Linked DNA regions of Kluyveromyces lactis. The protein of the gene in region 3 purifies or fractionates together with the protein of the main gene of each other region. This does not show direct contact. Links are inferred from orthologs where the notes say so. Each region holds a gene or a part of one and is shown on either strand. Other genes may lie near its edges.

Region 1 (4,228 bases), about 950 kb from region 3:
TGAGGAAGATATTGAGGACAAAGAAGAGGACGAAGAAGAAGGTTTTGAAGAAACACTTGAAGAAGGTCAGACGGATAGAGATCCACTATATGTTCTTCCTCTTTACTCGCTATTGCCCACCAAAGAGCAAATGAAGGTCTTCCTTGATCCCCCACCAAACTCCAGATTATGTGTTGTTGCTACTAATGTGGCAGAAACATCATTGACCATACCGGGAGTAAGATACGTCGTTGATTGTGGTAGATCAAAGGAAAGAAAGTTTGATGAAAATAATGGTGTTCAGAGTTTCGAAATTGACTGGATTAGCAAAGCTTCTGCTGGCCAAAGAAGTGGTAGAGCAGGGCGTACAGGGCCTGGTCATTGTTATCGTTTATACTCCTCTGCAGTTTTCGAAAGAGATTTTGAGCAGTTTTCTAAGCCTGAAATTTTAAGAATGCCTGTGGAGAGTATAGTTTTGCAAATGAAGAGCATGGCTGTTCATAATATTGTGAATTTTCCATTCCCTACCCCACCCGAAAGACCAGCTTTGATGAAGTCAATAAAGCTCTTACAACACCTAGGTGCACTCGACAGTAATGAAAGAATCACTGATGATGGTAAAGCAATGAGTTTGTTTCCGCTAAGTCCAAGATTTTCTAAAATGCTGCTTGTTGGTAATGAAAGCGACTGTTTGAAATATGTTGTTACCATTGTCAGTGCCCTTTCAGTAGGTGAGCCGTTTTTATCTGAACAAGAGCTTGGTATCATGGATACTGTGCCCAAGACACAAGATGAAGGACAATTAGATGACTATCCTGATCACGAAGCTGAGGAAAGAAAAAGGCTATTGCGCTCCAAGTATGTTAAAAGCAAAATTAGATTTAGTAAGCTTGATAAATTCAGTGATGTTTTCCGTCTTTTAAGTGCAGTATCTGCGTTGGATTTCATTCCAAAGGATCAGCACAGTTCTTTCATGGAAAAAAATTTCTTAAGGGCAAAAACCGTAGAGGAGATTATGAAGTTGAGAAAGCAGGTGATGTTCATCATCAGGTCAGTTACTTCGAGAGAAAATGTAGCTGTAAATGTTAAAGACGAAGACTTGAAGAGCTCGATCCCCACCGATGTTCAAATCAAATTACTCAAGCAAATGATCACAGCAGGATTTATCGACCAGGTGGCCGTTCGCGCAGACCAGTTATTCCCGGAAGACGTTACTATCAACAAAACCAACATTTTCAATATCCCTTATGTTCCAGTCCTTGCTGAGAAAACATCTTCTTTGGATGATATCTTTGTTTATATTCATCCAACCTCAATTCTCAACAATTCTGGCGAGCAACCTCCGAAATACTTGGTTTTCCAATCACTACATGTCAATAAAAATAATGAAAAGGCGAAAACAAGGATGAAGTCTCTTTGTGACATTAAAAGCACGCCATTGGCTAACGTTGCAAGAAAGGGCTCGTTACTCACTTACGGAAAACCAATCACTGGACAAGGTTTGAAACCTATTGATTTATCGCCAACAGAAAGATTCTGCTATGTTGTTCCTAGATTTGGATCTTGCAATGATAGCGACATCAAGATTGGTTGGGAACTCAATCCTATCCCTGTTCATCAAGAGAAAGAGAAAGGTGTATGGACGGTCAAGAAATTCCTTACTCCAAAAGCATTTAAAAACTATCAAGCTTCGAAAAGACCCTAGAACTACACCAGTACAATTTATAGAATTAATTAACTCATATAATACCAATTGCATTGGAATAATTAAAGGCCAATACCTAGCTTGTTAGGCTATGACTGGGTACTGTTGCTGTGACAGGAATCTCTGTAAAAGCTGTCAATGGATGCCAGTTGGATCATGATGTACGGTTTTGATGTTTTTCATAATGAAAACACAGGTTTTGGCGCAGGTTGATCAATAAAGGCTTCTTACATTACTGCTGAATGACAAACTGATGGGCAGTGAGAGAGTACAAGGTCTGCAAACTCTTTTATAGTGGGCTAAAAATAAGTAAACAATGGTAGAGCTGCTAAAAGAGAATTTTTTTCAGAACTTACTAACTGTTTTAAAAGGGTATGTGAATATAAAAACAACACATTTTTCATTCGAATTATGTTGCATTCGCACATGTTTTTGTCTAGAATCGGTGATAATAATAAATTAAAGACCAGCATACGATGACCTGGGGTTCCTCAAGTCTTTATTTTATGTTTTCAGTGTTAGATTTGCCAAAGCATGATTTTATTTTACAATCAAATACTAACAGTATTAATTTTATTTTGATTTAATTAGTGCATCTTCGAAATGCAGAGCTTTAGATGAAAGGTTTCCTAAAGAATTCTACGAGCCTGATCCAACACACATATACGATTCTTACGTGAAGTTTCTAAGGGCCAAGTTTGATGAAAATCCAGATATCAAAATAGCAGAAGATATTGATTCAATTTCCATATCTGATAAATTTGCTAGTGGAGATTACCAGAAGCATGAAGATTCTGTTTATCGGATTTACCATGATATTAAATTAGTATGCTCCATTTTAATTCACTACTACTCTCAAGGAACGAGGTCGTACCAAATGGTCGACAAATTCTACAAATTTGCAGCAGAATTGATTCTAAGGGAATGTTATAGAGTTGGAGCCAAACTGGTGGGAGACTTCGCGGCAGACATTGACTTCAAAGAAAGTGATTTTTCAAAAACCATTTCCAATGATTTCCTTAAAATTAGTCAAGTTTATCAGCTCCCCGTTACTGAAACTTACCATACGCAGACAAAGGAGGGACATTTGTTCAGTTCGGTGATAACGAGGTCAGTACTTGATCAGAGGCCAAAGGAAGTACCATACGAGGAATGTGAAATTGTGAAAATTATTCCTCAAGCAACATCCCAACCAGCCAATAGATTGGGATTCGTAGCAGCTAACACTTCCAATGTTCCTGATCCAACAATTTCTCCTACAGAAATCATGACCTCCTTTCTGCATCCGAATTGGTACCCGCTACCCACTACTAAATGGTTGGAGTATGGCGACTATCAATCTTTTGCTCCGAGTATCTCGGAGTTCAAGTCTGTAACAGATTGTTCCCGTAAAGGAGACATATGGTTGGAAAAGGTCGGATACAAAAGCTGGTTAGAAATAGAATCGAAGAAGAGAGGGGCTGCGGAAGCAGAAGATAAAAATGTTGAAGATGAAAAAATAAAGGATGAGGGTATTGAAGATCAAAAGGTTGAGGAAGCAAATGACAGTATCGGATCTGACAACCAAAAAAAGGAATCAAATGAAAATGATGAAGAGCAGAATGTTGCCACGGATGAAGAGCAAGATACAAATGAGGAGGGAGATGAAGTAATAGTGACAACGGAGCCAGCTGGACCTGTCAATATTAATTTGAAAAATCTTTATGACTGGCAACCTAGCCATGAGATACATGATGAAGATATAACGGCTTTTGAGCAAGGTGAACAGCAAAGGTTATTGACAGAGATATTGCTAAAGCTAAAGGCATGTAAATCGAGAAGGGTCAAGCTGAACAAGATATCAAAACCAACAAGTGAGGAAGTTTCCCTTTATCATAGAGCACAGAACATCTTGAAAGAAGCTCTACTTTCTAAACAGATTGTGACATCTCCAAAATTGCACGAGAAACATTTCCCAGTCCTTCAGACTAATTATGCCGGATCAGTTCCTGTCGTCAAGACCATATCGACTAGAAAAAAGAAAAGTAAGAAAGTTATGCAGTGAAGTAGATATTTCCGTATAGAATCTATAAATCGCAGCTGTGGTAGTGTGCAATAATCTGTGGGGCTAGTTTATTATCAGTGATAGCTAACGGTTACTATTATTTGGAGTTATTTTCTGAAACCATCAGTGTTTCGATTTTTTTACTTCCTCAATTACTTTCGAAGGTAAATGTCCAAGAACAATTAAAGATTATATAAAGAACAAAGAAATTAACCACAACAAAGGTACAAGAGAAGAGATCAACAAAGCAGATCCAATAAGTACAATTTACGAATTGATTATAGATTAAACAGAATCCATCAAAACTATATAAAATGCCTACTTAGACTTAAAAATGCACGTCCGCTCCCATGAGGTATGAAAATACAAGATAACAATTCAATGAACCAATTGTCAACCATATAACAAATGAACTGATGCTCAACAGTCTTCCATTGGTGTAGTCAATGGACTTAACGCCTTTCGATAATAATCTACTTTCTTCAGTACTGTCTGCAGAT
Region 2 (4,752 bases), on a different chromosome or scaffold from region 3:
GCAATCCAACATTCTCGAATTTTTCATCAATGGAACGAGATGTAGCCTGTAGGTTGGACACGATCTTGTCACTTTCATCTTTTTCCTCTGCAGTCATTGAGTTTGGACCTGTCTTACCGCCAACATCAATGAACACGGCATCCTTATCCATAAGTAAACCACCAACGTCAGACATTGGAGCATAGATCAGCTTTTGTTTATCATCCAATCTTTTACGTCTTCTTACAGTCGTTGCTGATGTGGAACCTTCTTCCTTAGCACGTTCACGTTCAAATTCATCTAATTTCTGTTGGTAATAAGGTGTCGGACAAGGATCAGGCAATTTCTCAACGTGATCGATCTGGTAGTCACCTACACCGGCGATATGGACCCTGTAGCCTGGAGTCGAAGGTAACGGAGTACCGTGTAAATAACCATAGATGGCGACTTTACGATCTATATGCATACCCTTCGATTGTAAGAGTTCTGGATGAGTTAAATCGGATATTCTATCGGCCAATAAATAAGGATGTTCGTTTCTCCATTGCAAAGGTCTGAACTTCATAACACTTATAAACCTTGACAAGTTCAAAATCTCTCTATCTGGATAACGACCGTTAATAACACCAGAAAGGTAGAAAAGCTTGGCACCCTGATACACTTCGGTCCAGAACCTATGTTTCAAAGATTTCTTAGAGGCACGCAATGTTGACTGGGATTTGAAAAGATCCAAATGTGTAGCGACACCTAGTACACGAGGCATACCATGATGTTGAGCCAAATTCAAGAATTCCATGGTCTCCATTTCAAACCCGAAATTACCATCCATCATCAAAAGCACCAAATCGGCCACTTTTGAAATATCGATCATGGAATTCAAATCATCCGCAGGACATTCGATAAAAGTCAGCCTTCTACGCTTACCAGAAACAACAGTAATAGGACCGTTAATTTCGGATAAAGTGGTCTTTGTCAACCTTCTCACTAACGATTTGATCAAAGTAGTCTTACCGGTACCTGGAGGACCAACAACAGCAATAATGATCGGAGGAGGATCATCATCTGGGGTACGATCCACCATCGGAACATGCAACTTCTTCTCATTCTTATCACCCGTACGTTGCATCTGCTTAGCCATTTTCCCCGGAGCGGAGACAGCAAAGGCCTTAGCATTGTGGCCCTGAGAATGTAACTTCTTCTTGGCACCAGCCTTCTCCTTCCGCTTCCTATGTTCTTTATTCGATTGTTCCATTGCTGAAGCTTGAGAGTCTTAAGATGTATTCAGGCAATGTGATTCGAACTAACTGGCCTAAAGTGACCCTTTTGATTCAATTCAAGATACTAGAATCTTTTATGTTCACCGATGAGATGAGATGAGATGGTTGAGCTTCTTCATGCAATTTTTCATGCAGGGTAAGAAAAAGAAATGATCTGAACCTTGTCGATATCTAATCACGTGATTCTGCACGTGATCTGATTTTTAAGAATTTAAGGTATTCTGTCAGTTTTGTAGATATTCCTACATGTCTCTGCCGTAGTAACTAGGGCCCAAGGGCATATGGAAAAAAAAGCGTTCATCGAAATTCGAACATCAAAATGAAATCGAAATCCAATCAAATGCACAAACAGAACAGGATAGAACAAAGGTCAATGAATCAACGGTTGGATTCCGAATAAAAGTCGTTTGTTTCATTCGTTTCCCTAAAAGTTGTTGTGTTTTTTATCTTTAGTTCGTTTGTGTGGTGATTTGGATTTCACAACAAGAACTGTACGTTCTACACCAGTTATATTGTTGTGGATACGAGACAACATCTTTTGGTCATAGAAAACACATACTGTTCTTATTCTTTCCAATCTGTGTGCGTGTAATTTTTACTGAGTTGAAGCAGGAAAGCTAGGATAACAGAGTCTTCAGTGGTGTGTGTTTCCTTGTTGAGCTTTTTATTTTTTGGATAGAATACACAGTGTGAGCAATGGTTTTGTATAAAAGGAAAACGATAACGTTGCCAGATGCTAGGCCATTACCGTCAAATATCAATAGGAAAATATGGTACATTCAAGAGACAGGGGAATGGTTTTTGACTTATGCAGAGTTTTTGCAACGATTGGATTTTTATAGGCGACATTATTTCACCTGTGAGATCACTGGTACATCATGTTTAACTTTTTTTGAAGCGTTGAACAGTGAAGAAGAGCAGTTCCAATACGTTGAGAAAATGTTCCCTTTAAAATTACGTGAACCTGTTGCAAAATTCATCCATTTCAACGAGATTAGAAGGCTAGATATGCTCGTCGAACAGGTATATGCAAGATTTAAAAACGACTATTTCCCTGGAGAAACGGTATACCTACGGAAAAGTAAGCAAGATTCCTCACATGACGATGCTGAAAAACATCATCAGCACTCACATGGATCACAGCATCAAAAAATTTACATTATCAAAGAAAAGGCTCAGTTTAATGCAGTTATAGATAGAGATACAAGGCAAGAATTGGTTCCTGCCCATGCAAAATATATGTTACAGGAAGCACAAGGTAGTACTTCAATCGTTGCCGATGAGGATCAGATTTATCGTGATAGATCATGTTTCACTAAGCATTTGATTAAATGTTTCTGTAAGATAACGTTGCGTCGTGCTTCAACTAAGATGGGTGCCCCATGGTGTGTGAAAGATGAATATTTGCCCATCTATAATTTAACCTTAACGTGGCCAGAAAGTATGCTAAAATACAAGGAAGATTACGTAGATCCGCAGTATTTGCAACAACTTCAACACATGGCGGAACTTAATCGAGAAAGAGAAGCTTCGGCAGCCATTGGTGAGCATAAACGAGAAATTGAAATTGCTAGAACAGAAACACCAGATCAGAAAAGAATAAAAACTGAAGAACTGATATCTGAATCCTCACCTTCGGTTGACCATACCAGTAACGACAATAATCAAATAACCAATGGCGATCAACAAAGCATAACGCAAATCACTGAAGATTTGGAAATACCTTTCATGGCACCAAGGCCTTCAGCTATCAACGATGCACTTTTAAAATACTCTAAGGAGTATGTGCCAATCTCAAATTCTCTCGATAAACCATTTGCGCATGATATTGGTAAACTCCTTCATTGTTATCAGTTTTTAATGGCATTTAATGCGACCCTTCAACTTTCGGAATTTAGTTGGGATGATTTTGTAAATTCTTTGAGATTTACTGATCCGCGCCAAATGATGGACGAGTACGTAACGATTAGTTATGAGGACGGTACGGGTACTAAGGTGGAAAGAATTAATATCTGGAATGAATCGATATATAAATATATTGACTCTTCAAATTCAGAAAAAATGAAGTTCACCTTGTCCTTGGACACTATGATAAATGATGACTATTTGGACGAGTTGAAAATAACAGGTACTTCCTTGATAGTGGAGTGTTTTTGTTCACTGTTAAGGTTGTTCATAGACACCAGTGGGGATTGGACGACATTAGTCCCTTCGGAGTGGCTTGAGGAGGACACGGACGAAAATTCGAGTGAAAATGAAGATTTAGAGATGGAAGAAAACGACGAAGTTAGTGCTGATCTTGAATCGTTATTAGAGAAGTGTTTAAACTATCGAAAAGTAAAATGGACAGACAGGCTTTCTAAGAGGCAATTTAACAATGGTTTCTGGTTGATAGTTCTCTTAGGTGTTCTCCAAGACTTCATGCATTTACCAATGTATAAATCGACAATTCAAGGCTTCATCAAAAATCTGGTGCCGTCTGAGCACACCCCGTCAAATATTTCCTTGAATAGGTACTTATGGAGAAAGTTTTGCAAAGATATTTCTGTTGAGGAGAAAGTTAACATTATGTGGATATTAGTTGAAATATTGAGCAACTACTCATCAATAATAAGATCTGCAATGGATGATTCAATGGAACTTTGTAACCAAATTAGAAGTGAGAGGTTTAGATTGAATAGGGATCTTAAAGCATGTTCTAATACTGTTGCTGGACTAAAAGAACAATTTACAGTTTCTGAGTTGCAACAATCTGAGAGCAGTAATGATAATATCGAACTGAAAGAAAACCTAAAAAAAGCAACAGATCAACTGGAACGGTTCCAAAGGAGGAAAAGCTTTTTTGATGCTAGGTTGATTGAAGCTGATCTTCAAAGACTAAAACCCTTGGGATATGATAGATATGGTAACAAAATCTACTGGTTAGAATATTGCGGAGTTCCTAGGCCGAACATATTCTCGAAGGCTTCACACTTATTAAGCAATAGATTGTGGATCCAAGGACCTGTCAAAGAAGCTGTGCTATACTACTTCAAGATAACGGAAGAAGAGTACAATCAATGGATTTCTTTAGCTAACGAATTGGGTAAAATTCAAGCCACCAAACAGGTTTTCCATGTTTATCGCGATGAGAAAGGTTGTTATTTCCACTACGATAAAGAGGGAGATATCATGTTGATAAATGAAGAAGGTGTTTTCAATACGTTCATTGAACTTTCGCCACTTCAAAGAAAAATTATTGATGAGACACCGGAAGGTCTTTTGTTTACTCCTAATGACTGGATATTCTTGCAAGATCCTGAACAACTCATTTCGATGACTAATTGGTGGGACAGCTGGGGAAAACGAGAACATGAAACACTGAAACAGTTGCAATCAGTTATGGAGCCGGTGATAGAGACATTAAATCAATATAAGACTCAAGTTCAAGACGAAGTTACTGAAAAAAGAGAATTGTTACTGAAAGAGATTGCGGCTTTGGAAATAGCGGATAACG
Region 3 (7,074 bases):
CGATGGCCCAATATAGTCACGTAACTGATCGATCGGTAGAACACCGTTACACACCAATTCACCTTTATTGTATGCAAAATTAGGGAAAACTAGACCTGGACAGTCGCATAACGTTACCTTATCAGATAACTTGATAGTTTGGAAATGTTTGGTCTTACCAGGGGTAGAAGAGACAGAAACTTTCTTGGCACCCACCAAGGCATTTATAGTGGAAGACTTACCAACGTTTGGATAACCCACTAGACCTATTTGTATGATTGGCTCTTGACCGGGCAATGGAGGAAGTAGCGGATCGTTTGGCGCTTTATCTAAGAACAATTCTTCAAGTTGATCGATCTTCAGTATGTTAATTTTATCCAGAATTTCTTTGTTCACTTCTTCCCCATCAAGTTCTTCAATTTCTTCCTCTGTAGCCAGTATTTCCTCATCGTCCTCTTCTTCAACGTATTCATCCCCTAGTTCCTCTTGTCTCTCTAATATTTCATTAGCCTTGGCAGCAGAAAAGAATGTAAAAGAGATGCCCCTCGAGAGAAGGTACTTGGCCCAAATAATACGTTGCTTTCTTGTTAATAAATCCGCTTTGTTGATCAAAAGTAAATTCTGTTTCCTGTCATCCACTTCTTTCACATATTTCTCTAAATCTGTGGATCTGAATAATAATGGATCTCTGGCATCCACGATTTGGACTACTAGATCACATCGCTCAACAACTCTCCACAACTGCCTCCAAACTTCAATGTTTCTCTCGAATGGAGTCAATAACAAATCCTCGTTGTCTTCTTGCAAATAGGCTAATTTACGTCTCCATTCCAAGAATGCTTCCTTTTCTAACCTTTCTAATTCAAATCTGGTCATAGATTCATTCCACTTAGGCCTTCTTGGGACAATCAACTCTCTAGCATGTAATCTCTGCTTCTCGTTGATCTTACTTTTCTGCTCATTGGTCAAACTAAATCCCTGGGATGTGGCTGCATCGGCACCGTTATCCATTCTGATGATCTTGACATTAGAATGTCTGTCCGCTGTGAAATCCTTGTCTGCTAACTCAGCAGTACTCAAAAATTCATCTAATGCAGATTCCTGAGTAACAGATCTCAATTTTACCCAATTAGCTTCGTGCTTATCGGTAGTGAAACGTTCTTCACCATCTGGCAAATACTGCACTTCATTTTCCTTACGTCTTGCAGTTTGAATTGCCTTACCTAACCCAATAGTGTTTTTATTCTTCCTTTGAATAGGCTTTGGACCCTTTGGAGGTTTCCACTTCTTTGTTGTTTCCTTTGGTGGCATGCTGCTAGTCCGTGTTGCTTGTAGACCTGCCGTTAACTGCTAAGATTGTTGTGCTGATGCTTTGCTTATGATGAGATGAGCTGGTTAACATATTAAAATTTTCCGCTAGTACGTAAAGTGTAAAAAAGAAATTGTGTGGTAAACCTGAACTAGAACAGATGGATGGCTCAACAATCTTTACAAAAGCACCCGCATGATGAGGATGCAGAGTACGACTCCAACATAGGTATTGCATACCACCTTAGAGGAGCGACAAAATTAGAAGTCAAGAGTTTCTGCAGAATGGAAGAAACTGCAGCTGATAAAAGGGTTACCACGCGTCTTCCTCCATGTTGCTTGTGTATTTTAAGAGAGAAATTTATCATTGTGGGTACCTATCTCTTGCATAAGGACTCAGGCAATCGAACTGGCTCTATTGAGGTTTATGATAAAGAATTGAACCTTCTTTCTAGCATAAAAACCTATGGGGCAATTTTAGATTTGAAGCTCAATCCATTCGATGATACTTTACTCGCAACAGCTCATTCAACCGGTAATATGATTCTGTGGACGATATCTGTCGACGATGATAATTCATCAATTGATATCAAACTATTGAACAACCTTCAAGTATTTGATCCCACATGTCTAATAACGTCTCTCCAGTTTTCTCCATTGCTGGATAATCTCGTACTTTTAACCACTACTAATGGGGATTTTGCTACTGTTGATATCATACATGGTGAAATATGCTTTATAGAGGAGGTGGAGCCATCGTATTTCGACTCCTCAACAATAAATTATATTGAGGTGCCAAATGCAGACATCAAAGTTATAAATGTTCAGAATGACCATGAACAAATCTTTCATTTCAAACATTCTTTGGAGTGCTGGACCGGCGAGTTCGGCTGTTTGGCTCCTTTGAAAGATGTTGTATTCACTGGTGGTGACGACTCTGCAATTGCAGCTCATGATTTGAATTCAGGCAAAAAGATCTGGTCCAATTCAAAAATTCATCAAGCTGGTGTTACGGCAATTAAGGCTGCTAGGGAGACATTTAGAGGCAACAAGCCAACAAGTTTAATCACAGGCTCTTATGATGACCATATACGATCCTTTGATCTAAGAATGCTCTCAGAAACCACAATATATCCAGGGACAGACGTCCCTGTGGTTAATAAATGGGAAGACAATTTACAGGGTGGTGTTTGGAGATTCTCGGAGGCCCCAACGAATGACGGACTGTCAAATAACAGACTTATGGTTTGTTGCATGTATAATGGTGCGAAGGTTGTCAACGTCCAAAACGATCATTTCGTGACCGAGCAGTTTATAAAAGAAGGGCATGAATCAATGTGTTACGGTGGTGATTGGAGTAAAGAAACAGTTGCAACTTGTTCTTTTTATGACAAGTCCCTACAACTTTGGAAAAGTCCAAATTAATACACATATAGTTTTAAAAGGAACGAAAAAAGCAGACGGAATTGAGACATAATTGATGTGTTCTCACTTCGCTGTTTCGATGAGCTTCAGTATGTATTCTTTTTTAAATATAGGACCATTTGTTTCATCTTATTAACGCACGTGACTTCAAGTATCTTCATCCTGCAACACCAAAACACGAAAGTTTTGGAAAAACTGGGTAAGTAATCCTTTGATCTAAAATTTAATTACTTCAGTTAATATAAAGAAAAAGACTTCAAAGATTGGTATTTTGATGAAGTAGTAGGAGCTTCATAATTTCTGATATCTGAAGCAGCAAATTTGTTTCACTGGTTCTCACGTCATTAAAGATGGATTCACCTGAGTATTTGGAGAAATTAAAACCCTTTCAAGAGGGAATTCCCAACAGCATTGCTGAGAAGAAAGAAAGATACTTGCTACCACTGCGTGATTTGGCATCAGGGAAGCGCAAATTTGATGAACAGGGAACAGTAAAGAGATTCGAACATTTGCTTGGGTTATCTACTTTATTCAGACATTTCATTGAAAGGAAAGCTGCCAAGGATCCTAGATTTAGAGAGGTATTGGACACTATTGATAATGTCAACGGCAAAGCAAATGGTAAGGGAAAGAAACATACAGATGCCCGCAGACGTAAGACTGAAAAGGAAGAGGATGCTGAACTTATGAAAGATGAAGAAGAAGAGGAAGAGGAGCTTGCTGATGTCGATTTCCAATTCAGAGAAAGTCCAGCTTATGTTAACGGACAGTTAAGACCATACCAAATCCAAGGTTTGAACTGGCTAGTAGCGTTGCACAAAAATCAACTAGCTGGTATTCTAGCAGATGAAATGGGGTTGGGTAAAACGTTACAAACCATTGCATTTTTGGGTTATCTAAGATATATTGAAAAGAAGAATGGCCCCTTCCTTGTGATAGCTCCTAAATCGACTTTAAACAACTGGCTCAGGGAAATTAATAGATGGACTCCAGAGGTAAGCGCCTTCATTCTTCAAGGTGATAAAGAGGAAAGATCTAAGCTATGTCACGATAAGCTTTTAGCATGCGATTTCGATATCTGTGTTGCATCCTATGAGATTATCATTAGAGAAAAAGCCTCCTTTAAAAAAATTGACTGGGAGTATGTTGTTATTGATGAAGCTCATAGAATTAAGAATGAAGAATCCATGCTATCCCAGGTTCTTAGAGAATTTTCCTCTCGTAACAGGTTACTTATCACTGGTACTCCGCTACAAAATAATCTTCATGAGCTTTGGGCTTTATTGAATTTCTTATTGCCTGATATTTTTGCTGACTCGGCAACCTTTGATGAATGGTTCTCTAGCGAATCATCTGAAGAGGATAAAGAAAAAGTGGTCAAACAATTGCACACTGTGCTCAGTCCCTTTTTGCTACGTCGTATCAAGAACGACGTCGAAGGTTCATTACTACCTAAAAAGGAATTGAACGTCTATGTTGGTATGTCTTCAATGCAAAAAAAGTGGTATAAACAGATTCTCGAAAAAGATATAGATGCAGTTAATGGTTCAAACGGTCAAAAGGAATCAAAAACCCGTTTGTTGAATATTGTCATGCAATTGAGAAAATGTTGCAATCATCCATACTTATTCGATGGTGCAGAACCAGGTCCTCCATACACTACTGACGAGCATTTAGTATACAATTCAGCCAAATTGAAAGTGTTGGATAAATTACTAAAAAAATTCAAGGAACAAGGCAGTCGTGTCCTAATTTTCTCTCAGATGTCTCGTGTGCTCGATATCTTGGAGGATTACTGCTATTTCCGTGAGTACGAGTACTGTAGAATCGATGGTTCTACTGCACACGAAGATAGAATCAACGCTATTGATGACTATAATGCACCAGATTCTAAGAAGTTCATATTTCTTCTAACTACTCGTGCTGGTGGGTTGGGTATCAACTTAACTACTGCAGATATTGTTGTTTTATACGATTCTGACTGGAATCCTCAAGCAGATTTGCAAGCAATGGATCGTGCGCACAGAATTGGCCAAAAAAAGCAAGTGCGGGTATTCAGATTTGTCACTGACAATAGTGTGGAAGAGAAGATTTTGGAAAGAGCTACACAGAAACTAAAATTGGATCAGTTAGTCATCCAACAAGGGCGAGTCACTAACAAGAAGAAGGAGAATAAAAATGACTCCAAAGAGGGATTACTTTCTATGATTCAGCATGGTGCTGTTGATGTCTTCAAGAGCAATGACAGTAGTGCCATGACCAGTCAAACTGGAACACCACATCCAGATGATGGGAAGGACAAGGATGAAGATGTGGATTTGGATGCCTTGCTAGCACAATCTGAAGATAAGACCAGGAGTTTGAACGCCAAGTATGCAACTTTGGGTTTGGATGAACTTCAACGATTCAACCAAGATTCTGCATATGAATGGGATGGTCAAAATTTTAAAAAGAAGGTTGAAAAGGATATCATTAACCCACTATTTATCCCACCTACGAAACGTGAACGTTCAACGAATGCTAACTATTCTGTTGATAATTATTACAAAGACGTGTTAAACCCTGGACGTAACAATCAATATACGGTTCCACCAAAGATGCCAAAATTACAACCTCTAAATAGCCACCAATTATTAAGACCACAATTAAAGGCTATTTACGAAAAGGAAAGAATGTGGATTGCAAAGAAAAACAATTATGTTCCCAACCTTGATGACGTTGTAACAACTTATGGTGACGTGAAAGATGAAGCAGAAAAGAAAGATAAACTAGAACTTCTAAAGCTATCGATTGCCAATGCAGAACCATTGACAGAAGAGGAAACTAATAATAAAATTGAATGGGAGAAAGAAGGCTTCCATAACTGGAATAAGTTGGATTTCCGTAAGTTCATTACTGCATCAGGTAAACATGGTCGTAATTCTATTCAAGCCATTGCTGCTGAATTCGGTGGTAGCAAGACAGAAGAAGAAGTGAGGGCTTATGCTAAAGCATTCTGGGCCAATCTTGAAAGAGTGGAAGACTATGAAAGATACGTGAAGAATATTGAGACGGAAGAAGAAAGAGTGAGACGAGTAAAGATGAATCAAGAAGCTCTACGTAGAAAGATCAGCCAATGCGCAAACCCACTATTTGAACTCAAGTTGAAGTTCCCACCATCTACAAACAATAAGAGAACGTTTTCCGAAGAGGAAGATAGATTTATCTTGTTGATGTTATTCAAATACGGACTTGATAGAGAGAACGTATACGAAATGATTAGGGATGAAATCAAGCACCATCCTTTGTTCGAACTTGACTTCTTTTTCCAAAGTAGAACGCCAATTGAATTACAGAGAAGAACCATCACTTTGCTCCAATGTCTAGAGAAGGAATTTAATACCGGAATTCAGAAAACAGATGAATTAAATGATCGACTAAAGAAAGAAGATGAAGAAGGTGAGAGGTTGCGGGAGAAGTTGAAAGAGGAGAACAAAGCCAGAAGGCAAGAGGAGGAAGAACAAGAAGAAGAAGAAGAAGAAAAAGAAGAAGAAGTTAATGGCACTGCAACTCAAAGAAAAGACGAAGCAACTGAAGTTGACACCGAAGTCAATGGAAACAGCCTTAATGAACCTGAACAGAAAAAGGTAAAGACAGAATAAATATCATAAACCCTTCTGAATAGAGAGAATCCATTGTATAATACTGAAATAATATAAAATTTGTTGAAAACGAAAACAGTTCCTTAGTTTTTATGCAATTTTTGATTCATTTTATCACTCTTATTATTATTATTATCATTATTTTATTATCATAGTTATTATTATTATCAGTTGGTTATATTTACTTTGAACACAGTAAATTAATTAGATATAGAATAGAATCCAACAGTTCAATGAAAAGATTTTAACAACTTCCGGAAGAGGATAGTGCAATACATTTTATAAATAGAGCAAGAATGGTAGAGTGGAGTCTGTGTTTTAATCAAATTTATTCATTCAACAATTTTTCAATAGGTTCTTCTAACGAAGATGGCTTAGTCAAAGAACTGTACCTTTCAACAACGGTACCCTTCTTGTCAACAAGGAATTTTTCAAAGTTCCATTTGATACCCTTGAAACCCAACAATCCGGATTTTTCGTTCTTCAAGAAGTCGTAGACTGGGTCAGCTTCAGAACCGTTCACATCAACCTTCTTCAAGATTGGGAAAGAAACACCGTAGTTTAGTTGACAGAACTGAGAAATCTCTTCATCAGTACCTGGCTCTTGATGTCCAAACTGGTTACATGGGAAACCCAACACAATGAACCCTTTATCCTCGTACTTCTTGTACAAAGCTTCTAGTTCCTTATATTGAGGAGTGAACCCGCACTTGGAAGCAAC

Evidence for each region.
Region 1: the proteins of ISW1 (region 3) and RSC58 purify together in Saccharomyces cerevisiae (affinity purification with mass spectrometry, with the first as the bait; 3 studies listed by BioGRID). This does not show direct contact. The link is inferred for Kluyveromyces lactis from reciprocal best matches to the Saccharomyces cerevisiae genes ISW1 and RSC58.
Region 2: the proteins of ISW1 (region 3) and KLLA0_B02090g purify together in Saccharomyces cerevisiae (affinity purification with mass spectrometry, with the first as the bait; 3 studies listed by BioGRID). This does not show direct contact. The link is inferred for Kluyveromyces lactis from reciprocal best matches to the Saccharomyces cerevisiae genes ISW1 and ITC1.

What each region holds. Positions count from the first base shown.
Region 1 is NC_006042.1:1,593,537-1,597,764, reverse strand, and holds RSC58 (Rsc58p), read left to right. Parts: upstream 1-2,000; coding exon 2,001-2,056; intron 2,057-2,275; coding exon 2,276-3,728; downstream 3,729-4,228. Other genes in the region: ATP-dependent RNA helicase ECM16, read left to right, coding at 1-1,684; putative divalent metal ion transporter SMF3, read right to left, coding at 4,057-4,228. UniProt on the Saccharomyces cerevisiae protein: Component of the chromatin structure-remodeling complex (RSC), which is involved in transcription regulation and nucleosome positioning. RSC is responsible for the transfer of a histone octamer from a nucleosome core particle to naked DNA.
Region 2 is NC_006038.1:181,766-186,517, forward strand, and holds the start of KLLA0_B02090g (uncharacterized protein), read left to right. Parts: upstream 1-1,952; coding exon 1,953-4,752. Other genes in the region: GTPase BMS1, read right to left, coding at 1-1,231. UniProt on the Saccharomyces cerevisiae protein: Functions as a component of the ISW2 complex, which acts in remodeling the chromatin by catalyzing an ATP-dependent alteration in the structure of nucleosomal DNA.
Region 3 is NC_006042.1:642,588-649,661, forward strand, and holds ISW1 (chromatin-remodeling ATPase ISW1), read left to right. Parts: upstream 1-3,062; coding exon 3,063-6,353; downstream 6,354-7,074. Other genes in the region: ribosome biogenesis GTPase LSG1, read right to left, coding at 1-1,290; RRT2 (diphthamide synthase), read left to right, coding at 1,453-2,712; glutathione peroxidase GPX2, read right to left, coding at 6,682-7,074. UniProt on the Saccharomyces cerevisiae protein: Catalytic component of ISW1-type complexes, which act by remodeling the chromatin by catalyzing an ATP-dependent alteration in the structure of nucleosomal DNA. They are involved in coordinating transcriptional repression, activation and elongation phases.